Linked DNA regions of Caenorhabditis elegans. The protein of the gene in region 1 interacts with the protein of each later gene in a pairwise test. Each region holds a gene or a part of one and is shown in the gene's direction. Other genes may lie near its edges.

What was found.
Region 2: the proteins of dnj-10 (region 1) and fzo-1 interact in a two-hybrid assay, tested with the Caenorhabditis elegans proteins (one large-scale study listed by BioGRID).
Region 3: the proteins of dnj-10 (region 1) and npp-8 interact in a two-hybrid assay, tested with the Caenorhabditis elegans proteins (one large-scale study listed by BioGRID).
Region 4: the proteins of dnj-10 (region 1) and prkl-1 interact in a two-hybrid assay, tested with the Caenorhabditis elegans proteins (one large-scale study listed by BioGRID).

What each region holds. Positions count from the first base shown.
Region 1 is NC_003281.10:8,628,152-8,635,704, forward strand, and holds dnj-10 (DnaJ homolog dnj-10), read left to right. Parts: upstream 1-3,013; 5' UTR 3,014-3,023; coding exon 3,024-3,117; intron 3,118-3,182; coding exon 3,183-3,286; intron 3,287-3,337; coding exon 3,338-3,418; intron 3,419-3,464; coding exon 3,465-3,620; intron 3,621-3,722; coding exon 3,723-4,013; intron 4,014-4,062; coding exon 4,063-4,364; intron 4,365-4,415; coding exon 4,416-4,639; intron 4,640-4,910; coding exon 4,911-5,025; intron 5,026-5,094; coding exon 5,095-5,098; coding exon of another isoform or gene 5,099-5,183; 3' UTR 5,184-5,414; downstream 5,415-7,553. Other genes in the region: polk-1 (DNA polymerase kappa), read right to left, coding at 1-91, 145-345; gpr-1 (G-protein regulator 1), read left to right, coding at 806-1,053, 1,105-1,605, 1,656-2,263, 2,316-2,536; twk-7 (TWiK family of potassium channels protein 7), read right to left, coding at 6,429-6,683, 7,137-7,255, 7,301-7,370, 7,417-7,543.
Region 2 is NC_003280.10:5,831,955-5,839,904, reverse strand, and holds fzo-1 (Transmembrane GTPase fzo-1), read left to right. Parts: upstream 1-3,701; 5' UTR 3,702-3,704; coding exon 3,705-3,777; intron 3,778-3,823; coding exon 3,824-3,949; intron 3,950-4,000; coding exon 4,001-4,218; intron 4,219-4,269; coding exon 4,270-5,377; intron 5,378-5,426; coding exon 5,427-5,538; intron 5,539-5,583; coding exon 5,584-6,054; intron 6,055-6,100; coding exon 6,101-6,235; intron 6,236-6,283; coding exon 6,284-6,365; 3' UTR 6,366-6,577; downstream 6,578-7,950. Other genes in the region: lec-5 (Galectin), read left to right, coding at 1-40, 87-195; ZK1248.19 (Beta-catenin-interacting ICAT domain-containing protein), read left to right, coding at 579-664, 715-949, 994-1,191; ZK1248.15 (WW domain-containing protein), read left to right, coding at 1,362-1,610, 1,660-1,797, 1,849-1,996, 2,045-2,293, 2,343-2,740, 2,784-3,017; gtap-1 (Dynein heavy chain 7, axonemal), read left to right, coding at 6,673-6,729, 6,775-6,894, 6,941-7,044, 7,094-7,166, 7,219-7,353, 7,399-7,874. UniProt on the Caenorhabditis elegans protein: Probable transmembrane GTPase. Mediates mitochondrial fusion. Fusion of mitochondria occurs in many cell types and constitutes an important step in mitochondria morphology, which is balanced between fusion and fission.
Region 3 is NC_003282.8:1,590,963-1,598,449, reverse strand, and holds the start of npp-8 (Nucleoporin_N domain-containing protein), read left to right. Parts: upstream 1-2,625; 5' UTR 2,626-2,644; coding exon 2,645-2,879; intron 2,880-2,938; coding exon 2,939-3,035; intron 3,036-3,081; coding exon 3,082-3,283; intron 3,284-4,495; coding exon 4,496-5,053; intron 5,054-7,412; coding exon 7,413-7,487. Other genes in the region: ced-2 (Cell death abnormality protein 2), read right to left, coding at 692-1,130.
Region 4 is NC_003282.8:6,982,049-6,989,594, reverse strand, and holds the start of prkl-1 (LIM zinc-binding domain-containing protein), read left to right. Parts: upstream 1-2,659; coding exon 2,660-2,869; intron 2,870-3,047; coding exon 3,048-3,290; intron 3,291-3,385; exon of another isoform or gene 3,386-3,819; intron 3,820-4,260; exon of another isoform or gene 4,261-4,412; intron 4,413-4,685; exon of another isoform or gene 4,686-4,839; intron 4,840-5,047; exon of another isoform or gene 5,048-5,398; intron 5,399-5,523; exon of another isoform or gene 5,524-5,871; intron 5,872-6,024; coding exon of another isoform or gene 6,025-6,135; coding exon 6,136-6,273; intron 6,274-6,543; exon of another isoform or gene 6,544-6,564; intron 6,565-6,623; coding exon 6,624-6,683; intron 6,684-7,546.

The sequences.
Region 1 (7,553 bases):
CAACTGCGGCAAAATAAGCATCCATATCTATACAAACACAGTCTCTTGATAAATCTCTAGATGATTCCAGTTTCATCTCAAGATTCTCCATCTGAAAATTGGAAATTTGCTCTAAGTAAATTTATTAGCTTTTAAAATACATACCAGTATCTCAGATTTTTGTCTTTCTTCTCTGGTTGCTGTTTGCAAACGATTTTTGATTTCTAAAACTTTCTCTTCAATTCTTGATTGTTGTTTTTTGGAAAACGACGAGTAGGACGCTGATGTGTTTTCTTCGATGACTTTCGTGATTTTCTCCTTATCCAGTCCATTCATTCCAGCTTTATTATCGTTGAAAGTCAGCATTTTTCACGAAAAAGAGCCGGATTTTGAAATTCGCGGAGAAACTCCACTGATTGTGAGTGTGCAAATGCGCGTAATGGTGTACTTACGTACATCGGCAACACATTTGACGACATATCAGAAAGCGGCGCCAAATTAGAAGTTGAGTGCGCGAGAAAAAACTACGCGTTAACCGCCAATTTTCACTTCCCCACAGATCTGTCTCGAGATTCTCGAGTCATTTTTCAAGTTTATTTGTTTGTCAGCGGTTGTTTTATTGAAGATTTGTAAAATTTATAACAAAATGTGCAATAGTCTATTAAACCTCGTGAGATATTTGAAGAAACTTTCCCCGTTTTAAATATTTCGTGTATTCGTGGAGATCGCGGGAATGTTTTGCCTGTTTCCGTAAAATTCCTCTATTTCTTTTATTTTTGCTTGCAATTTTCGATTCATTTCAGAAGTTTCCACATTCGCAAAACGAATGGACGTCTCTTATTACGATGGTCCCAAGGATGAAGTCGCCGAAGCAATGCTGAAAAGCGCGGTGACGGCCATGAGATTGGGACAATACGAGGATGGAAAAGGACGCTTAGAGGAGATAATGGAGTTCGGAACCTCAAATTTTCAACTACTTGGTACAATCTACATGTATTACGGAAGAGTGTGCAGGCATTTGAACCATGATGCCAAGGCCTTGGAGTTTTTCGAACATGAGTTGAACATGTTCAAGTAAGTGAATCACAAAAATGAGCTGGACATTCTATAACCTTAATTTTTCAGATTGATCTTCAACTACCCAGAAGCATGTGATTCCACACGTCGCATCGTCGAGCAGGCACTCAAAATGGGAAAGTTCCCCAAGGCTCGACGGTTTGCTGAGGATCTCATTGATTACACCAGCAATAAGAAGAACGGAGAGAAGTATATCGGTCAAGCTCGAATTTTGTTCGCTTCCGTGTGCCTCGAAGGATGTGAAAGAGACGTCGAGAGTAATCAAGATGAGAAGAAGAAGCTTTTGTCAATATGTGCTGAACAGATTGCAGCCGTGAAATTGTTCAACGAGAATAATACGGAAGGAGCTGTGTCTGAGACCAAAATCATGTTACTTGAGGCGAAATGCTTGTCACTAGACGAAAAATACGAGGAATCGCGTCGCAAGTATCAAGAATGCATCGATTTTGCCATCAAAACAGACCAGTTTGAAGCAGTTCACATCGCCTATTACGACAAGGCTCTATATGCTGAGACAGATCTTCTTTTCTTTATTATCAGAGATCTCAGGTAATTTTTAGTTTTAACGATTAATAAAAATATCAATTCTTTATTCACAGAAGTGCTCTCTTCTACGCCACGAAATTCGGAAAAGAGCGAGATGTAGTCAAATATAAGTCGAAGCTATCCGAAGAGATGCTGAGAAATGGCGAATTCCACGAAGCATATCTCTACGGATTGGAAGCGCTTGTATCGATTCGGAAGCTTGGATTGAACGAATACATTGGAGATGTGTTGCTTACAATCGCAAAGTGCCTCATTGCACTTGGAAAAAGACGCCAAGCTGCTTATTTTATCATCTTGGGGAGTGTTCTGACCATCAACCAAAACAGTTTCAAACTGTTCTACGAGCAGATCGACGTGGCGATGAATCAAGAGAGAAGCGAAACGGCAACTGATCAAGATGTATGCCTCGCAATTGATTCGTCTCCTGATCCGACATCCTCGAATGACATGATTAATAAGTTCGTCGTCGAACTGGAGCACGCAACAAATGTGGAAACCTGGGAAATGATTGTCAACGGAATCATTGACGACCAGAAGAAACCAGTGGCGATCGAAAAGAAAGAGAACGAGGAACCCGTAGACATGATGGATCTCATTTTCAGTATGAGCTCACGTATGGATGATCAAAGAACTGAACTGCCTGCTGCCAGATTCATTCCGCGTAAGAAATGTTATAAATAAGCGTATAAGTATGCAAATTTATATTTTTCCAGCTCGTCCAGTGTCATCGGCATCGAAAAAGACTACAAAGAGTCACAGAATCCTCCCTGGACTCCGTGCCAATTGGACAAAAGTGCAGTCGATGAAGTTCGATGGTCACACAATGAATAGGATCCTGAAGAGGTCGAAGAAAAGCAAATCGTCATTGGATTCTACAAATTCGATGCAGGGCGATGATACTCGAAGCGATGATGTGACAATGACGTCCAAATAGGACCATTATTTTTTCTGTCAAATAATACAATCAAACTTTCTTTATTTATTTTTTTTTTACTTTCTTTCAGTAAATATTATTATCATTTTAGTGGTTCTTTTATTTTATTTGCTGGTCAGAAAAGCTGATTTTTTCAATTAGCGAAAATCCATCAAGTCATATTTCTATAGACTCTTTACTACATACGTTGATGACTTTCGTGATTTTCTCCTTATCCGGTTCATCCATTCCAGCTTTATTATTGTTGAAAGTAAATAAGCATTGTTTCCCGAAAAAGAGCCGGATTTTGAAATTCGCGGAGAAAAAGTTGAAAATTGAAAAATCCAAACGATGCTCCGATGTTCCGTCCGAAATGTGTGTTTTACCGTGACGGTGTTTGCAGACAGCTTGAAAAAACATTTATTTTTTTATTTTAATTTTATTAATTTATTATTTATTTTAGAATGTTCTATATTTTAAAATGTGAATTTGTTTCAGGGTACTCGGAATGTTTGTCTTAAACCGTTCAAGCGGGCTCATTCATCGATCTGTACCTTTATTAGCTCAAGTATCCACGCCTACGACTTCCACAACAAAATTAGGTTAATAATTCTCCATTTGGTGATAAACCAATTCTTTTCTGCTTTTTTAAAACATTATGTTACAGCTCAACTTCACACAACGCATGCACTAAGCAAAGAAGATTATTATAAGACTTTGGGTGTCGACAAAAAATCTGATGCAAAAGCAATCAAAAAGGCTTATTTCCAGGTAATATAAGTTTTTATCGAATACTTTGTAAGTATAAATACGTTATTTCAGCTTGCCAAGAAATACCATCCAGATGTAAACAAAACAAAAGAAGCGCAGACGAAATTTCAAGAGATTTCTGAAGCATATGAGGTATTTTCAACAAACAATAGAGCAGGCTCGAATCAAAAATATTAAGGTACTTTCCGATGACACAAAACGTCAAGAATATGATGCATACGGAAGCGGAGGTGGCCCAGCTGGTGGAAGAGGTGGTGCTGGAGGTTTCCACCACCATGGAAATGTTGATGTTAACGAAATTTTCAGAAGAGCATTTGGTGGAGGGGGTGGAATGGTGAGTTCTCCTTATGAATTCTTCTGAATATTATATTAATTATATAATTTTTATTGTAATTAATAAAAACTACAGTTTTATTTATTTTTTCGCTGATTCCAGGGTGGCTTTAATTTTGATAATTTTGCCCAAAGTGCTTTCGGACATTCTGCTGCTCAGGAAATGGTTATGGATATTTCGTTCGAAGAAGCTGTCCGAGGAGCCACCAAAAATGTTTCTGTAAACGTAGTTGAAGATTGTCTGAAATGTCACGGAACTCAAGTTGAACCAGGTCACAAAAAGACGTCGTGTCCGTATTGTAACGGAACTGGAGCAGTTTCTCAACGTCTTCAGGGTGGTTTCTTCTATCAAACAACTTGTAATCGATGCAGAGGAAGTGGACATTATAATAAGGTAGAGTTATTGATTTTTCTTTTATTGTAGCTTTTAATTTTTTCTTCAGAATCCTTGTCAAGAATGTGAAGGTGAAGGTCAAACCGTTCAACGACGTCAAGTATCATTCAATGTGCCAGCTGGAACTAATAATGGAGATAGTTTGAAGTTCCAAGTGGGGAAAAATCAATTATTTGTTCGTTTCAACGTTGCACCATCTTTGAAATTCCGACGTGAGAAAGATGATATTCACTGTGACGTAGATATTTCTCTGGCTCAAGCTGTTCTTGGTGGTACTGTAAAGGTTCCTGGAATTAATGGAGATACATATGTTCATATTCCGGCAGGAACTGGCAGTCACACTAAAATGAGGTAATAAATCTCCAAAAATTGGAACTTAAATATTCATTAAACAATTTTCAGATTAACAGGAAAAGGAGTAAAACGATTGCATTCTTACGGAAATGGAGATCAATATATGCATATTAAAGTAACGGTTCCGAAATATTTGACAGCCGAACAGAAACAAATTATGTTGGCTTGGGCTGCGACGGAACAGCTGAAAGATGGAACCATCAAAGGATTGGAGAAAAATCAGAAAACCGAGGAGAAGGAGACGAAGAAAAATGAGGAAAAGAAGTCTGAAGGTGAAAAAATATGATTTCAATTTGAAACAAAGGTTTTATCAAAAAGTTGTCTTTAAAAAATCGAGAAATTACCAAAAAAAATTCATTAATTTTTTTTTTTTAAACCGACATTATTGGTTGTAAAGATTCAAAAAGTTTGTAAAATTTTAAAGTTGTTTGAAAAATACCTGAAAGTCTTGTTTTTTTTTTTGCATTCTGATGCACTTGTAATCTCAATTTTTCCCCAAAACTGATTTTTGATTCTTTTCAATCCAAAATTACTAATTTATAGGTGCATCAGAATCACAAAAACGGAGAAGTGAGCCAGTAGCTGAGAATGCAGAAACTATTGACGAAAATCAAGAAAACGAGGGATTTTTCGAAAAAATTAAACGAAAAATTTTCGGGTAAATATATAAATTTCTAAACAAAAATTAAATATTTTTGTTTCATTTGTATTAATTGAAATTTTCCAGATAAGTCCGAGGAGAAGTCCGAGTCAAAAGAAGAGCCAAAAAACGAAGAATCTAGTGAAACCCCCGAGAAAAAAGCTGCAGAATCCTAATATTTGTCGCAATTTATCGATTACTGTCCCAATCTTTCCAGTTTTGTTCCCTTGAAATTTGTTTTGTCTCATTTGTAGTTCTATTAGAGTGATTATAGTGTCTTTTTTGTTACACTTGTTTTTTTTTTCTATTTTCAATTAAACCGAAACAAATTTATCAAATTTTATTCAGAAAGAGATAACACAACTAGCAATGATATGAAGAGTTTTATGGATGAAACTGGATTTTTTTAGAAAATGGTCTGTAACTTGGCTGAACATGAAAATATCAAAAACCTCAAAATTGATAAAATGTGGTAAAATGTTTTTCAGTTTTACTACACAACAAAGATTTTTTTATGAAATTAGATGGATGTTGAGTTATGACTGGTAGAACAGAAAAGTTTTCAAAAATTTTTGTGGATTTTGGTAAAATGGCTTTGACTCAATGTAACGCAACGAATAATTGGTATTTAAAAATGACAAAGATTTTAAAAGAAAGAAAAAACATTTCTGATCATTATGTCAGTTGAACATTTGTTTCCTAGGCATTCATGTTTCAAGATACGCCAGTTTGAAGATACGCAGTTTAGTGAGTTTAGGAAGTTATATTCTCATTACAAGCACAGGTACATGAGAAAACAGCAGTCAAAGAAGGGCGGTATTTTTTAATTTGGAATTATATTTTGCTCCTTATAATATTGGGAACACATCTGTGCTGCTAAATTATTGTTTTGTTAATTTAAACCGAAACAAATTAATCAAAATTTATTGTAAAATAAAAATACAACTAGCAAAATATTTTATAGGACAAAATATGAAAAACGGAATGTCGTGTGAAGATGGAATTGAAAAGATATGAAATCATTGTGATCTGTTCAGGCAAACTTTATAAAAAGCAAGGTTTTCGGGATAGTTTGAAAGAGCAGATCACCTGGATGTGAAAATACGGTGACATTTTTTTGGAAAAGGGAAAGAAAATGAAAAAAAATCGATAATTTATAGAAATTTTAGCCCGTTTTTAATTAGGGAAAGGGCGGTGAGTTAAGGATGTGAAATAATTGAAATTTCAAAATGGAAAAGTGGTTTTTTTTGCACAGAATTTTTCATTTTTCATCTTGAAGGTTATATTAAACACGCGATGACTGTATTTAGAACCCATTAAAATAATGGAGAAAAATGTCTCAAAACTGAAATACTGATTTGAGAAAACCATTTTCCCTATTTGAAAACTAAAAAAGATGACAAAATATAAAAATGGAAAATCTATTTGAATGCACGATTGAGAGAATATCTTGAATGACAAAATCTACAACTTTGCATATCAATTGCAGACGATGACGTGGAAATGGTAGCAGCATCGGCAGTTTGATCAATATATCGAATACATCGGATATCAGTTGGTATGAATGGTATGATGTGTTTGGAAACATAGAGATTCTCCACTATAAAAGCTTCTCGGGACATGTTACGAGCTCGCTTTTGCATTAAATTTGCGTAGAGTTCTGATACAAGGACTACCTGGAAATATTTCAATTTTCCGTTGATCAACATAAAAAAGCAAAAAAAAATGCTTTTCAAAAAAGGCAAAAGTTTTTTAAAAGTTTCAACTATATGCATATTTTTGACCACAAAACCAAAACAAAACAAACTCAATAATATAAGTAAAGAAAACATTATGGAAATCATTTTCTCGCAAGGTCTTGTAAAACTAAATCGCACTTGAAACTGACTATTTATATATATGAGAAAAATGAAGGAGTCCTCCAAAAATGATGCAACTCAAAAACGAAACATCAAAACGTATTTTTCAACATTTCGCATTTCGCATTAGAGACATTTCGCATAGAACGGATTTATGTGGAAATTTATGGACGTTTTCGTCCTTTTTAGATACATGAGCACATGTTCTCCTGTTTTATTTAGAGAGATGACTTGCTTTCAAAATTAAAAAAAAAAACTGCTTATACATACCTTTCCTCCTACAACCGCCAATGCAGATCTAGCGTCTTGAATTTTTCTTCCGAAATAATGAATCTTTCGAATATACTGTACTCCTACCAAATCAATGCACATTGTAGTTATTGCAAGACCTAAAAATATTTTGAATTTTTGTTTTTTTTTCATTGAAAATTTACCTAAAATGATATAGAGCAATATGATATACATGTATCCGTCCCTTCTGGGCATCAAGTCGCCAAACCCGACCTAAAAATATTAATTTCAAAGAGTTCAACAAACTGGAACAAATTACAGTAGTCATTGTAATGAAGGACCAGTAGAATGAAGTGAAGAAAGACCACGGCTCTAATTTTGACATTAGGACACCGCCAAACGCTGTATATACTATCAGAATAGCTAATACCAGGAATGCAGGAATTCTGGAAAGAC
Region 2 (7,950 bases), on another chromosome or scaffold:
ACGAAGAGTACTCTTTCCAGATCTTCCTTAACAATGAAAGGTTTCAAATTCCTTAATTTTACTGATTTTAATCAATATTTTTGCAGATTCACCACATTCTCCCACCGTGGATCGCCAAGCGATATCAAGACTCTTGAAATTGATGGAGACGTTGAAATCCAGACTGTCACCATTAATGATGCTCCAGGAGTTTAAATTTTTGTTTTCTGAATATATTTTAAGTTTTTATATACTGTCCAGATCTAAATAAACATTCTAAGTTTCCTTATCCGTAGCAATGTTTTGTTGGCAGACTACAATAGCTCGATTTTCATGGAAAATGTTGCAGACTCTGTTTAGAATTAAAATTTCCTATTCAGAATTCGATGTATTCAACTTCAAATTGTCCGAATATAAAGGAATACTGCAAAACTTTTAAATACCAAACATTTTTAATCCAACTTTGAGGTTTTCCAAAAACATGCACTTTTGCGTCATGGTGTTTGCGTACACTCGATTTACGAAATGCATTTTACTTGACGCGCAGCATTTTTGTTTGTTGTTTTTTGCAAATTCCTCTTGCAATTAATTTTCTCGTCATGGGAGTAGACGATTTGCTTATTAAAAATGCTCAAAAAACTATTGATCGATTGATCCGGCAGTTAGCAGAAATAGAACAAGAAGAGTGAGTGAATTTTTTGTTTGTTTTTTACTTTCAAATGTTTCTTTGTTCAGGAATAATCTCGAAGAAGACGAATACAGGGAATTGCGTGAAGACACTGTAAATCAACTTCAGGAATATGGAAAAATAGTCGAACGCCTGCAAGGCGGAGATGTTTCTTTAATTGATGATCTCACGGCGACTAAAATTGCGATTCGAACAGCAATAAGTAAAGCCTTCAAAACACCTGAAATTATGGCTTTATTTGCTGGAAAACATACTGGTCTTTTACGAGAAAAATTGATGATGGTAACTAATCTCAATGATATTATCGTTTAAAATTTAATTTTCAGACAGAAACCAACTACCGATCTCAAAAAATGCCGAAGCAAGGGTATCTGGAAAGGAAATTTGAAATTTTGATGGCACTGAGACGCCTTGAAGAAACATTAACAGAAGATGAAAGGAAGTTTCTCAGTGATCGATTAGAAACACCAGAATTCCAATTAATTGAGGCAAATGCGAATCGTCTTTTCAGTGGAAATGTGTAATTTTTATTAAATTATGAATTTTTACTTGTATATAAACTATAATTTTTTTTTAATGTTTTTAATCAAAAATCGCTTGTTTTATATCGGTTTTAACCATGCTGCTCAATTTATCTTTGTTTCCCACGAATGATTTTATTCCTAGGACCTCACCAGTTTTCAGAGTACAAATAATGGCTTCTCCAAAAAAACCAAAAAAAGTTAGGTTAGATGATAAAACGGAAAATGTATCACCTCCATGGAAAGCCTGGTGGCACACGGAAAAGAAACGGAAGTTTTATACGAATGATAAGACAAAAGAAAGTTTATGGGATCATCCAAACACCCGAAAAAATGAGGAAAAATCTCCGGTTAAAGCGAAAACGAGAAAACGGAAAGATGTAGAGGAAAATATCCATGGGACCATGGATGATGATAAAATGGTAACTATTAATTATCAATTAACAGATTAATTTATTCATTAAAATTTAGGAAGTCGATGTGGTACCCCCGCCAAAGCGGAAGTCTATGGAGAAGTTGGATGATGAAGAGTTTTCATGGAAGAGGCCAAGAAGATCGGACAGTTCGGAGAGAATAACGAAAAAAGAAGACATTCCCAGCTGCAGTGGCGTTAGTGTTGATATAATTATTAAGCTCTTTTAAAATAAAAATCAGTTGCAGGTAGAATCTCATTCCAATAAAATGCTACCACGTGTTCCATGGTCTTCTGAAGTTCGACCATTCAAAGATTTGCATTATCGTGCGTGTGCCATATTCGATACCTGTGCTCTTCTGGGAAATCCTGATGTTCTCAATGCTTCCATCGAAAGTAAAATATAGAGAATGATATTATTATTGAAATTTCTATTATTTTCAGAACAAATTCTCACAGTCATTCCATATTTTACATTATCTGAGCTAGATGGTCTTAAAAACGGATCAGGACACACTCGAATTGTAGCTAATTGTGCAAATAATAGTATAAAAGATCTTCTGGAAGAGAAGAATCAGTACTTGCATGTCGAGACGAGCACAGAGCAACAGATTCAGATAAACGGCTTCAGTGCAAACACAACTGTTGTAGATGATTTGATTCTAAGAACTGCATTGCGAATAAAAAGAGAAAGTAAGTTTTTTTCTTAAATTAAGATTCGAGAATATACCACAATTTTCAGTAATGTCAATTCCATCTACAATGAACCTCAATGATCGTGCTATTATACTCGTCACCGAGGATGTGAATCTTTCAAACAAAGCACTGACTCATGATCTGCACGTTGAGACAGTTAAATCATTCATGGACACCATTCATGGTCGGAAGAAACAACAAACGGATTCGGATCAACTAAATAGTTCAAGGAAGTCTTCGAATTCTGATAGAAGACAAACTACTAGGAAAGAACATCATGCTAATTCTCATTCTAACAAATACACTAGCAACGACATAAAATACAAAAGGAACGAAGCTGTTAAAAGTGTAAAGAAACATCGCGAATTGGAAAGTTGGATCAACGACTTAGCCAAAAAAGATGCTGGTCGCAATGCTGGTTTTGTTAAAGAAAACAAAGTAGAGGTAACAAAAAATTATTATTTTGTAAATTAAAATATGTTTTCAGGCTCCCAGAAAATCTCGACCATCGATCCCACTAGCAGACGAGATCACTCTTCAACCGTCTTCCTCAAACTCGGAATCATTTAAACCAAGAAAGACATATCCCTCATCAACATATCAATCATCTCAAAATGGAAACGTAGTCAAGACGACCAAGCCAAATAGTAATCGCCCAAAAATTCCGTTAAGCCTTTCGGATGACGAATGTACCTTCAACGACAATATGGATTGTTCCTGAATATTGTTTCCTATTTATAATTATGATTTTTCTGCATTCCTGCATCCGGTCTCATTGCATGTACGGTGTACTTTAGTGAATTATTTAGTGAATAAATGTTTTTTATGTTTTTTTTTACTTCAAACTTAATAGAATACCGCTAAATCAATAGAAATGTTTCGATTGTTTTTGCTTTCTAAATATATAAATCCAAAAAGCAATCAGAAGTTTAAGAAGAGACACTGCAGAATTTCAAGAACGGGGGCTTGCTGATTAAAAAATTTGCAGCAAGCATTATTCACAAATTTTCTACAAACTGCTTTCATAAAGTTTATTTATATCTTTTAATGTTTAAAACGGCAATTTAAAGCACAGTAACTTTTCTTAATCAAAAATAGTTCGATAGACAACTAATTTTTCTCACAAATCGTTGTCTCCCGATAATCGATTCTTTTGTGTACAGAGAGCGCGCTCCAGTGAACATTCTTTTTTTGCTCGCGACGGAGACAGAAATGGAAATTCTCTGATAATTCGAGTGTTCCTTTTCATTTTTTTTTATTATTCCAATGAATAATTTGATGTTTGTATAACCTTTTCGATATTTCAAATAAGATTTAATGTTTTCTAGACTTTTAAGCGATTTCGTAATCCTCGAATCGAATTTCCGGCTGATTTATGAGACTTTAAATATATTTAAGTTTTCAGGTAATGTCTGGCACAGCAAGCTTAGTTCATACTCTGCCGGCCAGTGGTGATTCTAATCATCGTGGACTTCACAGCTGTATGTTTATTCAACCTTTCAAAAAACAATGCAATAAACTTTTCAGTGAAAAATTCGCGTCGTGCTGCCGATAATGAACCACTTCTTCGATTTCGAGAAGCTAAAAAGGTTCTTGGGGATGTCTATGGAGAACTGAAAGACAATGTGGCTGAACTAGAAGGTGTTTACAAAGGTATTTTCTGTTTTTTACTTCGCCGCAAATATAAACCCACAAAAGTTCCAGATATTAAAGAGAACGACTTTGTTAGTTCTGAACAGCGGGAAGAAATCGAAGCAATTGGCGATTCAATCAAAACTATAATGGACACATTTCAAAGAGATAACATGAAGGTTGTATTTTTCGGAAGAACCAGCAACGGAAAGAGTACAACTATCAATGCGATGCTTCATGAGAAAGTGTTGCCCCAGGGAATGGGACATACAACATGTTGCTTTCTGCAGGTGAGAATCACTTTTTTTTCATATTTTATTGTAAATTTTTGAAATTTCCAGGTTGAAGGTTCAGAAGGCGAAGTTGGCCATCTACAATTAGATGATAATCCCCAAAAGATTGATATGAAAATGCTTGGAAAAATTGGACACGCACTGAGTGACGAAAATTCAGATCTTCCGGCAATGGGACAGGATTCTCTTTTGAAAGTGTTTCATCCAAAGAAATCGGAATCAGGGGAATGCCGACTTCTTCAAAACGACGTCGTCATACTTGATAGCCCTGGTGTCGATCTTTCTCCAGAATTCGATAGCTGGATTGACAAACATTGTTTAGATGCAGATGTATTTGTGCTTGTATCAAATGCGGAATCAACATTGACACAAGCCGAAAAGAACTTCTTCCTTCGAGTCGCGAAGAAGCTTAGCAAGCCCAACGTATTTATTCTCAATAATCGATGGGACGCCAGTGCAGCAGAAACAGAAAACATCGAAGATGTAAAAAAGCAGCATTTGACGAGATTCCGTCAGTTTTTGGTCGATGAGCTTGAAGTGTGCTCAGAAAGAGAAGTCAATGATCGAATCTTCTTTGTTTCATCGAGAGAAGTTTTGGAATCACGATTAAAAGCTAGGGGACTGGTACAAAAAGCCTATCAAGCAGAAGGTCATGGCACAAGAGCCTTGGAATTCCAAAATTTCGAACGACATTTTGAGCATTGTATCTCTCGATCGGCGATTCACACGAAATTCGAAGCTCATAACAGGAGAGCTCATGAAATGATCGGAAAAATGCGGCTCAATCTGAATAGCGTGCTAACCTCTGCAGCTGAGCAGAGAAGCAAGCTTCAGAATAATCTAAACGAATCCACCAGGACTTTCAATGAATGCCGTGTAAACTTCACTCAATTTGAAAAAGCTTACCGTGAGCAGACAGAGCAACTGCGAGCCGAAGTTCATCTGAAAGTTTCTGCTGATTTCTTTGAAGAAATAGCACGACTTGATGCAATAATTGATCGATTTGAACAACCTTTCGATGGAAGCTCTTCCGGAATGACAAAGTATAAAGAGGATTTGGCAATCTTTGTGGACAAATGTTTGAGCAGTGATTTGGAAGCTAGATGTACCGGTGGCCTAATGTCAAGAATTTGGAATTTGGAGAATGATATGTTCCGTAAGTGTTTATCTGGGAACTGATGTGTTATAAAAAATTTTTTTTCCAGAATATGTGACAAAAATCCTCGCCGAACCTTATCAGAATAAGCTTGAAGAAGTGTGGCGATATCGTGCTCCTTTCAAATTTAGCATTTGTGTCGATGTCCCTGCTCTTGTCAAGTGAGTTTCGATGGATTTTTTGTGTTTCATTCTTACATTTTTCAGTGATTTCCATGAAGACCTCGAGTTCCGATTCACATTTGGTCTACACGCAATAATTCGTCGCATCATTGCGTATCGAAGCGGCCAACCTGTCACTGCAATCAACACCAATTTGCTTACTCCATTATCACTAAAACAACAATCCGAAAAGAATTCAGTGAGAGATGCAGAAGCTTCTGCAGCTTCCGAAGAACAGGCAATGATGACTCAAATGGTTTTGACATCAGCCGCATTTTTAGCAAACGGAAGTCTTGGAGTGCTAGTTGTTGGTGGTATTGTGTATAAGGCTGTTGGTTGGAGAGTAATTGCTGTCGGAGGAGCGGCCTACGCTGGACTATATGCATGGGAACGAATGCGCTGGAATTCGGGAGCCAAGGAACAACATTTGAAAGAACAGTTCAGATCACATTTAGCTGCTCGAATGCAACAAGTTTCAACAGCTCATACTCATCACTGTGAAACACAAGCTATCAGGTATTTTTTAAACCGTATAGTTTTCAATTCAATTTGTTGTTTTCAGAGAAATGGACCAAGTCTTTGACGGATTGAAAGCAACTGTTGGTGGAGTCCATAGAGAAATGAAAAACGATTTGGATGTACAGAAGACACAAATTGATGCAGTTGATTCAACAATTCGAACATTGGGAACAATCAAGTATGTCCTCTTAGATCTGTGTCAAGAATTAATAAAATTAATTTTCAGAGGAAAAGCAGTGTTTCTTCTCCGAAATCTCGAACAATTTGCATCTTCTTATCTCCGATCGGACTCTCCGCCAACGCCATGAAAATGACTAGTCTGAATTTAACTAATTTTGGTGCTTTTCCCCTTATTCACTCAGTCCTATAGCTTTTAATTCGAACGATTGGTAATCGGTTCAATGTAGATATTTTGATGAGCTGTTTTCTCGTTATTTCTAGACAATTTCAGTAGTTTTAGTGTTTTGATTATGATACTTCTATGAGACGAATAATAATTCGAATAAATTTTTGTCGTTTGATTTTTGAGAAGATATTCAATTATCTGTATTTATATTCATCAGAATTTCTATTTATGTGTTGTGGTATTTGAAAATAGGAAAATATAATTCAGGTATGAATGAAGACGACGATGTTGGAATTTCTGTGGAATTCGATCAATGCACGCAGGAGGTACTGTAGGGAACCAAATATAGAAATAGTTAGAACAAATTTCAGACAATGTTCTACAATTCTTGTCTAGAAGATCGTGACGAAGGAGGAAGCGGAGACATCTCACGTGCTGATTCTGCAGTATGTCTCACGACACCTAGAGATCCGTTTCCAGCTGTTCTACAGGTAATTGAAGATGAACGAAAACTTTTTATAAACTGTTTTTTTTTAGAAGTTCAACTCATCTCGTAAGAATCATCAAATAAAAAAGTTTCATGATAGCAATGTAAAACGATGTCAAGAGTACAGAAAGAGTATGGAACATCAAAGAAATGGGTAAGAAATTCGGATTTTCAAAAACGAATATTAATCATTTTATTTTGAGAACAGACAGTTATTTGCTCACTCAACAACGGCTCGCTGTTCATCTCATCGACTTTATTGATTTACCTGTTAAAGTTAGTTCAAAAACTAAAATAATTTTTATCAAAAATAAACGTTATAATTCAGAAAAATACTCAACGAAGAATATGCACTGATCGTGTGTCGATGCCTCTATACAGATTGACGTCTGGTGGTCTTGAAGTGAACTCGGATTATTATTTTCCAATGGAATCTCCGTATGCGAATATTCAAAAATCTTATGTAAATTTTTAATATTTCTTCTATCAATTATTTAAGTTATTTTAGCTACGAACACTGGCCGACCACCTCACTCGAACTCATCGGAAGCTTAACGAAATATGTGAATTTGTGGAGAGATGTGAAGAACACAGTCAACTGATGCTTCCGACACTGATTACTGTACTCTGTGATTGGGTGAAACAATTTCTTAGAGATCACGCTTGTCATCTCGACGAACTTCGTGCTGAGCGACTGGAAGATCCTTTACAGACATTGGCTCGACTAAATAAAAATATGGAAGAGGTGGAAATAGTGAGAGCAGTGATTGGCGATGATGTTGGAAGACATATTTGGTTATGGGAAGATATTGAAAACTCTTGGAATCGTGTATTCCTGTTAACACAAATGGATGCCATCGCAAAGAAGAGGGATGTTGTCAAGTTGTTACAAAATAAATGGATTCGCGCTTTGTTGTCAATTATGGATCATATTTTCGAAATTGGAAGAGTTCCTGCAGCTATCGACTATTTTGTTTTGCACAAGTGAGTTTCAATTTTATGATTTTTAAAGTTTTAAAACGTAAGATTCTTGCTTGAAAAATTTATATAAATATTTAAG
Region 3 (7,487 bases), on another chromosome or scaffold:
GAAAATAATGCAAGCGCGCTCCATTGAAAAAATCCAATTGGCGGAAATTCAAAAATAATTAGGTGAAAACTGAGATTTTTTTTCAATTTTCAAAAAATCATATAAAATCAGGGAAATTTTTTTGAATTTTTTAATCATGATATTCTGTCATTGTGGCCCCATAGGCGTGTTTTAAAGCAATTTCCCCACTGGGTCCGCCTTTAAAAAATCTAAAAATTCGGAGAAAATAGTGCCAAATGCAAGAAAAAATGTCGATTTCCTCACAATTATAACGTTTTTTCTGGAAAAAAAATCAATTTCTGGAATCTCGAGCACTTCTTAGAGAAGAAAGAACAAAGGTTCGGAAAATGCCATTTAAACTACTAGAAATGTCAATTTTCTCGTGAAATCCCCGAAAAATCCACTGATTTAGCGGCTCGAGATTCTTTGTGAGCTTTAAGAGCACTTTTTCGATTAAAAAATCTGAAAATTCGGGGAAATTGAAGCCAAATGCAAAAAAAAAACTATTAAAAACCAAGTTTTGCCAAATTTTACCACTTTCTCAAGCCATTTCTCAATTAAAATCGCCGAAAAATTGAGATTTTTAGTTAATTTTTGACGTTTTCGATGGGCAAATTTAAATTTCAATAAAGCAAGTTCCCCACAGGGTTTAGTCCACCTTTAATCAAAAAAGTGCTGCTTTAAAGCTCACAAAGAATCTCGAGCCGCTCTCCTTGCTCAAACGGAAGATCTGTCTCTCGTTCCCCTGTGAATTTGAATGTTCCGACGACAACCTCAATGATAGGCTTCTTGTAGGCGGCCAGCAGGCTTGCCTCAGTCAAAACTCGCATTTTAAAATGATTCAACAACGCCGGAATGTCTGGAAACGACTGATTCGCGATTTTCACGCCAGCTGCAGCAGTTCCATCTTCTTTCGGTTCTCCTCTTTCAATCAAATAATGACAAACGGCATTTCCCTCGTCGGCTTCACGTACTGTCAGTGAATATTCACCGGGGCGTGAGCTATCCCGCATTAGGAAGGTGCCGATCGATACTTGTGGCTCGCCGAGCAACTTGTGAGCCTCTTCACGGCTCATTCCTGGGAAGTAGAATGAACGCCACTCGAATGGATCGAACCCGTTTGTCGTCATTTCTGAAAATGCGGGAAATTGTTTAGAAACGTGGAATTTTTAGGCGCGCAAAATTGGTCAAAGTTGGGAAAATTTTCTGGAAAACGTAACCCAAATAGACGGAAAATCATCAAAAATCACGAGAAATTCCTAAAAATCCAGAAAAAAAAGACGAAAAATCAAGAAAAATTATATAAAAGGGGAAAGTTTTTTCGGCTGAAAAATGCTTAAAATCTTGTTTTTGAGAGCGAAAATTTATGAAAATCGGCCAAAAATCACCATCTTTGAGAAGAAAACGCAAAAATCTTCAAAAAAAAAATCAAGAATTTCGTGGGAAAAAATATTTTAAAATGAATAAAAATATGATTTTCAACCTAAACATTGCTGAAAATGTGAAAAAACGGGTGAAAATTCGATTTTTTAAAGGAAAACGAGTCAATATAGGCAGAAAATTGGATGAAAAAGTTGGAAATTGAATAATAATTAGCGTGATTTTCCAAGAAAATCAAGGAATTTCCATTTAAAAAATTCAGGAAATGAACAAAAATGGATGTTTTTTTGGCTGAAAAAATGCTGAAAATCAGTTAAAAATCGGCCAAAACTTGCGTGGAAAAATCAAAAAATCAGGAATTTCGTTGGAAAAGTACCTTAAAATGGCAAAAAATAAGATTTTAAAGAAAGAAATTGCTGAAAATCGTGGTTTTGGCACAGAAAATCTAGTAATTCTAGTGAAAATTTCTGAAAAATAAATGAACATTGGAGAAAATGGTACTTTTAGGAAGAAAAATCGATTGGACACAGTGAAAATTTTCAAATTTTGGTAGGAAATGGCGAGTTTTAGGGAAAAAGAGGGCAAAATAGTTGAGTTTTTCGGCTAAATTATGGGAAAAATGAAGAATTTTTTTGAAAAACTGTGTTAAAAAATTGGAAAACATGGCGAAATCGAGAATTTCGAGCAGAATAAGCAGGTTTTTAGGCTAAAGTTCGGTTTTTAGTAGAAGAAAATTGAAAAATACGCTTAAAACCTTTATTTTCGAATATATTTCATACTAAATTTACCGATTTCTTGTTTTTATACGCATTGAAACACCAATTATTCGTAAAAATGAGGAAATTGATGAGCAATTTTCCCAGGCAATGACTCATAAGCTTCTTGTCGACTGGAGCCAAAGTTTACACATTTTAAATACGTATTTTACGATGCGCAACCGCAAAAAATCAAGAAAATCTCCGAAAACTGGTGAGAAATTGCAAACAAACGACTTTTTTTGCACGCAAAAATAAATTGTCAGCTGTTGCGCTTGTCCGAGAGGAGTACACGATGAGGTGTGCGGGGGACTTGCAACACGCGACCCCGCCCACTTTTCCGCGCCGCATTGCAATTTGAATTCGGAATTTTGCGCGAAAAGTTGCGTTTTGCGGGAAGTTTTCCGGGTTTTTTACAGTTTTTTGCTATAATTTTCAAGTTTAAAGGTTAAAATATCAAAAATCACTCAAAATTTTCCGACTTTTTCAGCAGCTTTCCATCCTCCGAGATGAGTGTCTCGTTTATGGAGTTGGGCTCGGCCGACTCGGCAGAAGCGGCGGCGAACAAGGTGGCACACCACGTCGAGCAGATGATGGAGACATCGGATTTCTTCGATCGCCTCACACAACACGGCACGACGCCCGTCTCCGGTCTCGGCGAGAAGTTTTATGTGAAGGGAGCGCCGGAGTTTGTGAGCACACGGCGAATCCCAATACCCGGAGAGCTTCAAATGCAAATGAGCAGTGAGAGAGCATTGTTTCCGATGGGGGGGTTTTTCAGCGAAAAATTGGTGAATTTTCAGATATTCACAGCGAGTTTAGCATGGGATTCTTCACACAAATCAGCCGAGTTTGGGTCGTCATTGATAACAATCTCTATATGTGGAATTACGAGACAAAGTAAGCGGAAAAGCCGAAAAATACCGAAAAAAAATCGAATTTTCAGCGACGATTTGGCGTTTTTCGACTCATCAGACGCTGCAATTCTGAAGGTGTCGCTGGTGAACATCAAGCCAGGCGTTTTTGAGCCGGAAATTCAATATGGGCTCGTTGTCGGCACAATTTCCGATATATGTCTTTATCCGGTCTTTGATTTCGTGGAAAATGGCGCCAGTAGCATTTCTATCGACTCAAAACGATGCTTCAAGGTTCGAAATTCGAGTGAAAATGGAGAAAAAAGAAGGAAGAATTACCAAGAAAACCCAAGTTTTTGAATCAAAAATCGCAAAAGTTTGGAGATTTTGAGTCTTCAAAACACGGGAAAATCGATGTTCCGTGCGATTTTTACTTAAAAATCGACAAAAAAAATTTAAACAACGGGATTTTTCGTCTATTTCTAGCTCAAATTTGCTGATAACGCTTTTCTGTTTTTTTTTCTACTCGAAAACTTGAAAATCCGAGTTTCTGACTAATTTTTTGAGTCTTCAAAGCAATTTTACATCAAAAATGCTCATTTCAAACCAAAAATTGGGGATTTCGATAATCTTCAATTTTTATTCGTTTTTTTTAGAACAATTTGTCGTTGAAAACGCTCATTTCAAGCCGAATTTTCGAAAATATGTGTTGTTTTATGCGAAAATCTCCAATTTTTCATTTATTTTCCGATAAAAAAAGCTCATTTTAAGCCTAAATTTTCCCAAAAATTGAGCTTTTCAACAATTTCTCTAGAAAATCGCAAATTTCCATTAAAAAGCTCAATTTTTTTTGCGAGAATTTTTCAAAAATGAGCTAAAATTTCGAAAATAACAGTAATTTTCGACGAGAAACTTCAATATAACACAAAAACGGTATTTTCAAGCCAAATTTTTTTCTAAAAAATTTAAAATTTTGAAAATAAACACAGTTTTTTGCGGAAATCTTCAATTTTTCATTAATTTTTCTGAAAAAAAAGCTCATTTTAAGCCAAAATTTTCCTTAAAAATCTGAAATTTCCAGCACTTTACTATAATTCCAGTACATAAAAACGCTCCTTTTAAGTCTATTTTTTTTCTAAAATTGAGCTCAAATTTTATTTTTTCACATAATTTCCAGAAAAATCTTCCATTTTCAGCAATTTCTCTAGAAAATCGTCAAATTTTTATGTTGTATCTGGCAAATCCCCATTAAAAAGCTCAATTTTAAGCCAAAATTGTTCTGAAATGAGCGAAAATTTTGAAAATATCACTAGTTTTAGACGATACTCTTTATTTTTTTTAAATATATTTTCTGAAAACGAAACCCATTTCAAGCCAAAATTATCATAAAAATCCCCAAATCGTCAATTTTTATATGAATTTCATCGCAATTTTACATTGGAAAACACTCCAAAAATTGAGCTTTTTCAGCAATTTCTCTAGAAAATCCCCAATTTTTTTTTTCAGATAGCCCTTGACGGAGCAACAGTGAATGATATTTCGTATACTTCAAATGGTCGAGTATTCTATACAGCCGACGATCAACTCTTCGAATTCGTCTACGAGAAACAAAACGGATGGTTTGGCTCCACAAATCACAAGTGTCGAGGTGTAAATCAAACTGCATCAATTCTCGGAACACTGATCTCTCTACCATTCTTCGGCTCTTCAAAAGAGCCCCTCGATCAGATTACAATCGATAAATCCCGAAATATCATGTATTTGCTCGGCCGAGCCGGCACCGTCAGTGTCTGGGATCTCGGAGCGGATGGAGCAGCTTGTGCCAAATTTTTGAGTGTTCCCATCTCGAAAATTGCACATGAAGCTCATATTCTGACGCAATTCGGTCACGATGAGACATCTTTTCACAGTATTACATCGATTAAGGCGTTGGAAGCTTCACAATCGGCTGCGCTTAACCTAGTTGCAACTACTGCCAAAGGAGTTCGATTGTACTTTTCAGTGTCGACGGGCCCGCAGTCTACGATGGCTATGTTTAATAATAGTGGAACACCTAATGAAAGAGTTCGTTTTTTAGCCGAAAATTTGGAAAAATCGGGATTTAACAAACAAGAGTAAAAAAAAAGAGTAAAAAAGTTGTATCTAGTTTTTAAACCAATGCTCTCGTCGAAAGTTTTTTACTTTAAAAAAAACCATTAAAAATTAGATATTTTCGAGCTTTCTGGGCAAAAATTGTAAAATTTTCGGCCGAAACCCAGGAAACTGAGCGATTTTTTCAAATTCACTTTTTTTGAAGCTCCAATCAATTTTAGAGCAGAATTTCAAGACTATAAAAAGTTAAAGGTGGAGTACCGAAATTTGAGACTTTCCTTTTTTTAGACCCAAAATAATCCAAAACTACCAAATTTCGTAATGAGACGTTCTGAAAATTTTTCAAAAAAAAAGTTATGGCCGCTCAAAGTTTTCGAAAAAATGGCATATTTTTAGTTAAAGCCCCGAATTTCGGCAACTTCTCGGAGTCGCAGCGGTTGGGGATCTTAATTTTTATTTGATCGTCATCTTTCAATGCATTTTTTGGCATTTTATTACTTGTTATTTCGTTGATTGAGATGGTTTTTTGGCCAATGAGGACGCAAAATTGTATCATATATGCGTCCCTATTGGCCAAAAAACATCTCTGCCAACGAAATTACACGTAATAAAATGCCAAAACGTGCATTAAAGGATGCCAATCAAATAAAAATTAATTAAGTTCTAACCGCTGCAACACCGATAAGTTGCCAAAATTTGAGATTTTAGCTAAAAATAGGCCGTTTTTTCCAAAACTTTGAGCGGCCATAACTTTTTTTTTGAAAAATTTTCAGAACGTCTCTTTACGAAATTTGGTAGTTTTGGGCCATTTTGTGTCTAAAAAAAGGAAAGTCTCAAATTTCGGTACCCCACCTTTAACTTTTTATAGTCTTGAAATTCTGCTCTAAAATTGATTGGAGCTTCAAAAAAAGTGAATTTGAAAAAATCGCTCAGTTTCCTGGGTTTCGGCCGAAAATTTTACAATTTTTGCCCAGAAAGCTCGAAAATATCTAATTTTCAATGGTTTTTTCAAAGTAAAAACCTCTTGACGAGAGCATTGGTTTAAAAACTAGATACAACTTTTTTACTCATTTGAATTAAATTTAGGACATTAACCCCATATTTATTGGTTTTGAATTCTTTTTCGAGCAGTTTTTAGCTTTTTTTTAAATTAAAAATTACTAAAGGTGGTGTAGTCGAATTTTTTTGATTGGTTTATTACGCTCAAAATTGTCTGAAAACACCGAATTTCATAATGAAACTTCATGAAAACTTCTCGATAAAAAAGTTATGACGCCTCAAAAAATGGCCTACAATTAGTTAAAATCGGAAATTTGACCGACTTGTCAATGTAGCAGCGGCTAGCAACAATTTTTTTTTTGAAATCACCGTCTAATTTTGAGTATACACATCAATTTCACTCAAAATTTGACGGTGATTTCAAAAAAATTGTTACCAGCCGCTGCGGCATTGACAAGTTGGTCAAATTTCAAATTTTAACTAATTTTAGACCATTTTTTGAGCCGTCATAACTTTTTTATGAGAAGTTTTCAAGAAGTTTCATTATGAAATTCGGTGTTTTCAAACAATTTTTAGTCTAATAAAGCAATAAAAAAATTCGACTACACCACCTTTAGTAATTTTTAATTTAAAAAAAGCTGAAAACTGCTCGAAGAAGATTTCAAAACCAATAAATATGGGGTTAATGTCCTAAATTTAATTCAAATGAGTAAAAAAGTTGTATCTAGTTTTTAAACCAATGCTCTCGTCAAAAGGTTTTTACTTTAAAAAAAACCATTAAAAATTAGATATTTTCGAGCTTTCTGGGCAAAAATTGTAAAATTTTCGGCCGAAACCCAGGAAACTGAGCGATTTTTTCAAATTCACTTTTTTTGCAATAAAAATAAAGCAATAAAAAAAATTCGACTACATTACATTTAAAGATTGATAAAGCATTCAAATTGTCCCGTTTTCTCATAATTTTTAAAACAAAAATTGAATAATTTCCTGGATTTCTTCTCTCTTCTCTGCTGAACAAAAAAAAGCAGACATAAAACAATTTTTGATGCTTTTTATGACTAGAAAGCGCAATTTTCTCTCTCCTGACTATTTTGCAAATACAACAATTTCTCAATTTTGCTCTGGAAAAAACTTTAAAAAAATCGATTTTAAAACTAATTCCGTTCGGCCGAAATCAAATTCTCAAAAAAATCAGGAAATTCATCCATTTGAAGCGATTTTTCGAGCGTTTTTTGTCATTTTTACTTGAAAAAAATTGCAGTAATTTCAAGGTTTTCTTAGTTTTTACCAAAAAAAAAACTCTTCAAATTAATTGTCAAAATGTTTTTTTCAGAATCGACCTCAAACATCAGTACGTCCACAATGTCTACGTGTTGCTCATGTTCGATTTGCTCCGGGCGTCACACCG
Region 4 (7,546 bases), on another chromosome or scaffold:
CCATAAATGGCGAGGGTAATTCTTTTGAGTAATTAAAAGTGTTCAAATGTAAGTTTTAACATAACCTTTGAAAACTATTCACTTTCAGAATAGAGTTTAGTAAACTGAAATCGTATTTTGAATTTTCAGGCCATTGTCGATATTTTCCGTTCATACCCTCTAACAGTCTTGCATCGCAATATACCAACCACTTTTTCCAACACTTTAGAACGTTTTTTAATTCAACTTTCATAGACCTTGTTTTCAAAAATAATCTCGGCATTTCAACTCTTTGCCAAACGTTTGCTAGTATTGATTATTCAATACTCAAAAAAATTCTCAAGTAGTTTATGGCCACCTTGAAACTATAATAAAAATATGAGAAACAACCAAAATTTCCAAACGGTGGATGCAACACAATTTGAAACGTTAATATATTATTTACAAAAATATTAGCATTCAAGGGGATTTGCCAAACTTGGTTTTTTTTTAAACTTCAGTGCGGCCTCAACCGATTTTCGCTCAAATCTTACCCAAGTTCGGCCCAAGCTTTGGCAACTTCTGGGCCAATGGTATCTTTTTCGGGCAAACGTTTGACATTCTGATATCATGATATGCATTCTGTTAATGAACCTTCTCCTCCTCATCCCCTTCTCATGCACCATCATCACCATCACCGGCTGTCTTCCGTGATGTGAGGTGTCTGTCTCTCGTCTCACTCACACATGCGCATCATAGGGCACCGACGCAAAAAAGTGTCAAAAACGATTTATTGTCTTTTCTCGTTCGGTCCTCACCATTGCGCCCCTGTCCTCAATGCGTCGCTTTTTTGTGCGGTCTTCTTCTTGGAATTATTACCGTTTTAATAGGCGTTGAAATTCTGTTGGAGCAGGCTTGAGAGCGGAAATTAGAGTTCATAATTAGTATCTTAGTATCTTATAAGAGTTCATAATTAAATAGTAATCTAATCATTACATCTAAGACTTGAAAAAGAGCCCTCAACTTTTGATCTACCGCAACTCTATTCACCTCTATTAGATTAAAACCAACTCCAATACCCTCCAGGGACTTCCAATCTCTAACCGATAACATCTTTAGTACCGATGTATCATAACACCTGTCACCCATAGACACACACACATATATAGACCCTTCCTGGCCGAGATGAGGGGTACATAAACACATGCGGTAAGACTGTTAACCCCGCCCTCAAAATACTGCTTCTCGGTCTGCGTCTCACCCTTCTAGTTGATGTGGGAGGATCCTTGTAGCTTTTGGGTTCTGATGGGAGATATTCCATGCGGTTCCGGTCAACGCCCTCCACATTAGTTTCACTTTTGTTTTAAGTTTTCAATTTTCACAATTTCATTCTTACCGCAAAATGAGTCATTTTTTGTACGCTATACACATTCTGGTGTTCTGGTAGTACAGGGTGTTGTTGCGTTCAATATTGAAATCGTGAAGTGATGGCAATTTCAGAACTGCTACAAGAGCTTGAGCAGAAATCATTTTCATCTTTACAGAAATTTTCAAACTAGGCATTCTACGCCTTCCTATATTTTTTCCAACACACATTTATATTTTCTTACAATAATTTTTCTCCGCTCTCACAAAAGCTCGAGTTACTTGAATATTCGAAATAGTTTTTTCATGGCTCGTTTTTCTCATTTTATTTTTCTCAAAAGATTGTGCCAGCAATTTTTTCCTTAACAACAAATAACAGTTGTAATTACTCAAAAACATTACCCTCGCAATTTATGGCCACCTTGAAACAGTAATAAAATTTTGTGAAAACACTAATACTTCCAAAGGACCTAGAAAATAGTTTATAAAAATATCCTCAAGTACCGAGAGTTTGTGAAAACATGACGTGAGACTTTAAAGGTGTCTTCTACTCCTCTTGATGGATCTTGCCACAATCTCTATAATAGAATAATGCTTCAAATATAAATTATGAAGCGTATGTAATTTTCACATTCTAAAATGCACAGGAACTATCATGGTAAATTTTGTTACTTTTATTACTTTTTTGCGAACACACTACCGCAAAGTCGGAATCAACAGTAAAACTTTAGATTCGTTGAGATCTTAAAGTTCTTCCTTTGAGATGTTCCTATTAATCCATTAGTTACCGTCACTTTTCCGTTATTACCAGTATAATGACAGAGACAAAACGGGGCGGCGTGCGCGACGGCAAACAGTCATTCCTCTATTACAAGGCCATATCAAATTAGCATAAACACACGTCTCCCGATTCTTTACTATTTTTCATTCTTCAACGGGACGTCGTCTTCTAGTTGAAGATTTCGGAATCTTTTTCTCTAATTGAATCAACATTACGAAGAAGACGATGTCCTTTTCTGCAGTGAAATGAGAAATGAAACGGTCAGATGTCGTCGTGGGGATTTACGGGGCAATGGAGAGACCGGTCTAGTTTTGTGGATGATGGTGATGGTGTTGCCAAAGTGATTGACATTTTTATATGGCAGCAAAAAGGTTATAGAGAGGGACTGGTCTTCTTTTCACACTTAACACTTAACACACCCTTTTTTGGAGGCTTTTTTGAAGTGATTTTGCATACACTATTTTTCTTTTTTTCCAAGTCAACCTCAACTTTATCGTATAATTTGCCATTCTCTTATGAAAATGTGTTATTTTCAATTCATAGTCCCTATTTCAGATGAGCGAACGAATTCGCCGTCGTCGTCTCGAAGCATCGGAGCAATTCGCACCGCAGCTCATCTCATCACGTCGAGCTCAAGGTGGTCTATCGCCTGCTTCGAGAATCCGAATTGCAGCTGATGCTCACAGGCATTCAACATCTGATGATGACAGTGGATGTGCTTTGGACGAGTATGCATGGGTGCCTAGTGGTCTGAAGCCGAATATGGTAAGTATAGAGATTTTGAATGATCTCGTGTGCAATAAAGAACAATTGAATTAGGTTTTTGAACACCAAAACCTAGACCAATTAAAATGTTCACAACCTGTGGACCGTTCAAAACAGATGGTTTTTTGTGCACTTCAAATACTGATTCAAATTCAAATTCAAATTCAAATTCTTACAGGTTCATGCCTACTTCGCCTGTCTCCCGGAAAACAAGGTACCATTCATTGGATCAGCTGGAGAAAAATGGCGACAACGTCAATCACGTTATCAACTACCACCACAGGATTCTGATGTTAGATATTGTGAAGATTTAAATGCAGAAGAAGCGGATACATTGCGAATGTTTGAAAGAACTCGAAAAACTGAATGCCTGGGAAGTGGTGTTGTTCAATATGCTCCATTTGATACAAAATGTGAAAAGGTTAGTATTTTCCATCAAAATTTGTTTGGTTTTATTGAAAAATCGTCACCCGGCCTTATTATGACATTCGACCCATTTGAGCACAACCGTAAATCTTGCCAAACTGTGGCGTATGAAACCATAAACAACATTTTCTTTTTCGTCTTTCCGCACCATCCCCAAAACTCATAAATCTTTATGCGCGAGCGCTCTCTTTCCGCGCACCATCATCTATGCTTATGCTGGGATGCTCCTCATCATCATCTTCACGGCTTCTTTTTTGTCGGGCGGCTTTTTGCCTTTGCATTCCCAACGTGTAGGCACTGTCTTACACTTGAGAATAAACAATGACGGAAATTTGAGAAAGGTCATGCTCATTAACAACGGCGAGGGCCGTCTGCTCTCGGATAGTCCCACTTACGAGAGTGCGGCAAAAAAGTTCTGAAGAATGAGAAGAAGAGGTTGTTGACCTCGATGGGGGAAGCCAGCTGCTTAGGTGTTAGATTTTTGTACGGCATGAGAATAGTTGCAGCAACTTGAAAGGGACAAATGGAATCATGAAAATTCGTCGAAAAATAAACCTTTTTTTTTTAATTTTCTGATATCGTTTTTGAAGGTATCGTCAGTACCGTAAAAAAAGCTTCTATGTATAGTGTTAAAATGTTCAAATAAATTTTTGATTTTATTTTACATACAGTCAAAAAGTGGGAAAAACTCATTTTTCATTACTATAATTTTGGAAGGCGTTCAAAAATACTTTCTACGAGTTTCCAATTTCGTTTTAATCGTTTGTATTTAAACATTTTAGTTGTACGAACCTGCTATTTAAACATTCTAGTAGTACGAAACTATGCTCAAAATTTATTTTTTTAAATTTTAACATTTTTTGAAACAATACACCCATACTTTAACTGAAACTTTGAAAAAACTGAACATTTTTGAAGTATTTAAATTATGATATGTGGTTTTTTGTGTTATAATAAGTGGATTTCGAATAAATCTCCACTGACGATAATTTCATTCAATGGCAACCGACTGTCTGCAATTATTATTGCAACATCTAAATATTGGAGAGAAATAGAGAAACAGAGATAGAGTCATAGACAATATGCAATTATTGTCAATGTTCATCCATCTTTCTTTTACTACGAAGCTCCGGCTGTTTGTCAGAGGAGAAGCTGAGCAGCAGCAGTCACTGCTAATTACCTATGCATCGTTACATGTTTATTAATAGGAGAGACAACGGGGCTCATTGTTGGGGTTAGCTTGGATTTTCGTTTTAGGAATTTAGAATTTTTGCTTTTGAATTTCCAAGGGTTGCTAGGGGTCTAGCTTAAGTTAGTAAATGTAAATGTTATGTACAGTAATATACTCAATTTCCGCTCCTTCTGCTCGTTCTCTTTAGTTTGTTCATTGAGTTATAATCTGATTAGAGCCGTCTCAGTGTTAATCTAATCCGGTCATGGGTAGATGGTAGGTAGATCAAACAAAGCTTCTTCCGATATGCGCGCGCGGGGCGTTTTGATCTAAACACTACTCATAACAAGATTAACAAGGAAAATGAGAAGGAAAGCAAGAAGTCAATTATAGGGTGAAAGAAACAGTATATTTTTGGAAGGGAAGTGCCGAACAGATGGTCTTCCTGGGTGCCATGTTACCATGTCATCAATCACTTTTCTTAGAGGATCCCTCTCATAGTCAGGGGTTTTCGCGCATTTGATACCCTTCGCCCAGTTGGTTGCCCCTCCAAGTATCTGGTTTGAAGACCTGAATTAGGAGACATGGGAACATCTGCCTTTTGTAGACAATTCAGGCAGTGTCATGTTGTTTTCTGAATTGGATGTGTCAGTTCCAATTGTTACCCGTGTGCGTGTCAAGGGTACTTGTTAGTTGTTGATAGTTTACAAGTAATTATCGCCGAATATTGAGGATTAGCTGAGTACAAGAACTTGGAAAACAAAAGTATTGAAGTTGTGAAATAGGTAGGTACGTCTTCACTACCTTTCTACGTGCCTCCCAGGCGTAGGCAGAAGACAGGCAGTTTTTCCCTAGGATTACCCTGTCACGTTTTTCTGTTTAGAGGTGTCTGTTGCCTAATCCATTTCAAAATTTTAGGTGTCTGGTTGTCAGATTAGACGCGAGGTCTTATCAACTTATGGTTGTACATGTCTGTTGTTAATGCGGAGGTTACTTAACTTATAACAGAAGAGAAAATTCACAATGTGCACACTTTAAACAACTGAGAATTTAAATATTTGATTCTTAAAAATAAATTTAAATTACAACTACCAACAAAGATTCTAAGACGGTCAAGAGGGTAGCAGTAGGGGCATACCATCTTGTATTTACATAACTATAGAAACACATGGAGAAACTGAACCACCGGCTGGAGGATGCACTTGACCGTATAATGTTGCTACTTATCTTGTAATCTAGTCCATATAAATACTTTTTTGCTTTCATTAAAAACACCTGCTCGAGACGGCGGGGAGTATATTTTGTGGAGACTGTCCTAACAATAAAATGAAGAATTTGGACGATTAATTTTATTTGTTTCTGAAACAGTGAAAAATATCTTGTACTACATGTTGTTAATGCATTTCTTTTCGCCAGATTTTGCATAGCGAAAACGCAACAAAATGTGAACAAATTGTATGTGACAGATTGAGATTTGAAGATGAATTTGAATGGCACATCTCATTTGGAAGATGTTGGATTTTAGATCTTTATCATCTCTCCGGATTTCAATGAGAAAATGAAAATGAAATTGAGACACAAATTACAAATTAACTCGTTCTGGAGTAATCAGGATTATTCAATTATTCAACAAATTTTGAAAACACGACTAGAATATGTAAATTTTCAGTGTCCAAAACGTCTTGAAGAAGGAGAAATCAGTGTGATGGCTGCAAGAACTGGAAAAAGATATCATCCATCGTGTTTTCGGTGTCAAACGTGTGATGTTCTACTTGTTGATTTGATTTATTTTGCACACGACAATCAGGTTAGGAATTTTTTAAAAAGTAATTTTTACTATCAGAAATTGAATTTTTTGGAAGATATAGACAATGTGTCAATGGTCAATACATATAGTCAATTTTATATAATCAACAACAACCCAAACATTTTTAGATTTGTCAAAAATGTTCGGTAATAGTTTTGCCTAATTGTCAAATTTCTCATTTTAAAATTTGATTTAAAATTGAAAAATTTCGAGAATTACTGCAGACTCATCATCTCTACAAAAAAAATTTTGGGATGTCTTACGATGTTATTTGATCATTCTATTTTGAGACCGTGATAAAAGTTTTATAAAAGTTTATGTTTTTTTCACAAAACAGTAAAAATTTGCAGATCTACTGTGGAAGACACCATGCTGAACAGGTCAAGCCGAGATGTGCCAAGTGTGATGAGGTGAGTAGCACTATTTTTGTACTTTATATTCCCTTTCTACTATAACAATTGAACCATCCATTTTATGGCCCCCTTACACTGTTTGCTTTGAGTTTCCGATACATGTGGTGTGCAAACTTTTATGATAGGCGATTTGGTGAAACACCAAGCGCCGGCGGTTGGAGGAGAAAAAAGTGTCGCAACTTGAAATAATTGAGGACAAGAAAGCAAAAAGAATAGTAAAAATAGTTTGGAAAAGAAGAAAAGGGAGATTTGCTAAGAAACATTTTTGAAAATTTGAATTTTTGGTTTTTGAAACATAATTTGTAAAAAAGAAAACGTAATTATACCTATAGATATAATTCAATTTGGTACGTGTGTACTACAGTGCGTCCAACTTCTATAGCACCCCCCTCCAATTTGGCGGTATGGAGCCTCTCAAAATATTTTTTGAAAAAGTGTTAGTGCAGTTCGATAGCAAATGTTGAAAAACCTATGCTCCCCAATTTTCATTATGATATCTCAAAAATCACAGGAATTAGGTCAAAATATCGGAAAAATGGCCGTCCAACTTCTATAGCACCCCCTCTGATTTTTGGCAATTTTCGGTAAAATCGGGGTTTTCTTCTTAATTAATAAGTTTATTTTGTGAATAACTTTACACCAAAATAATCAGACGGTTTCATTTTCACATTTAAAAAATAAATATAACCCCTGAAAACACGTGGAACGCCTAGGATTGTCCTGGAACGTTCGTATTTGCTTCAGAGGCCATTTCTCGGCTCCCAATGATTTTCGCAGCACCAAACTTGACCAAAATAATCTTCCCCACCTATTTATTACTATTCAAATAATTGTTGAAAACATTTATTCATATGAACCAA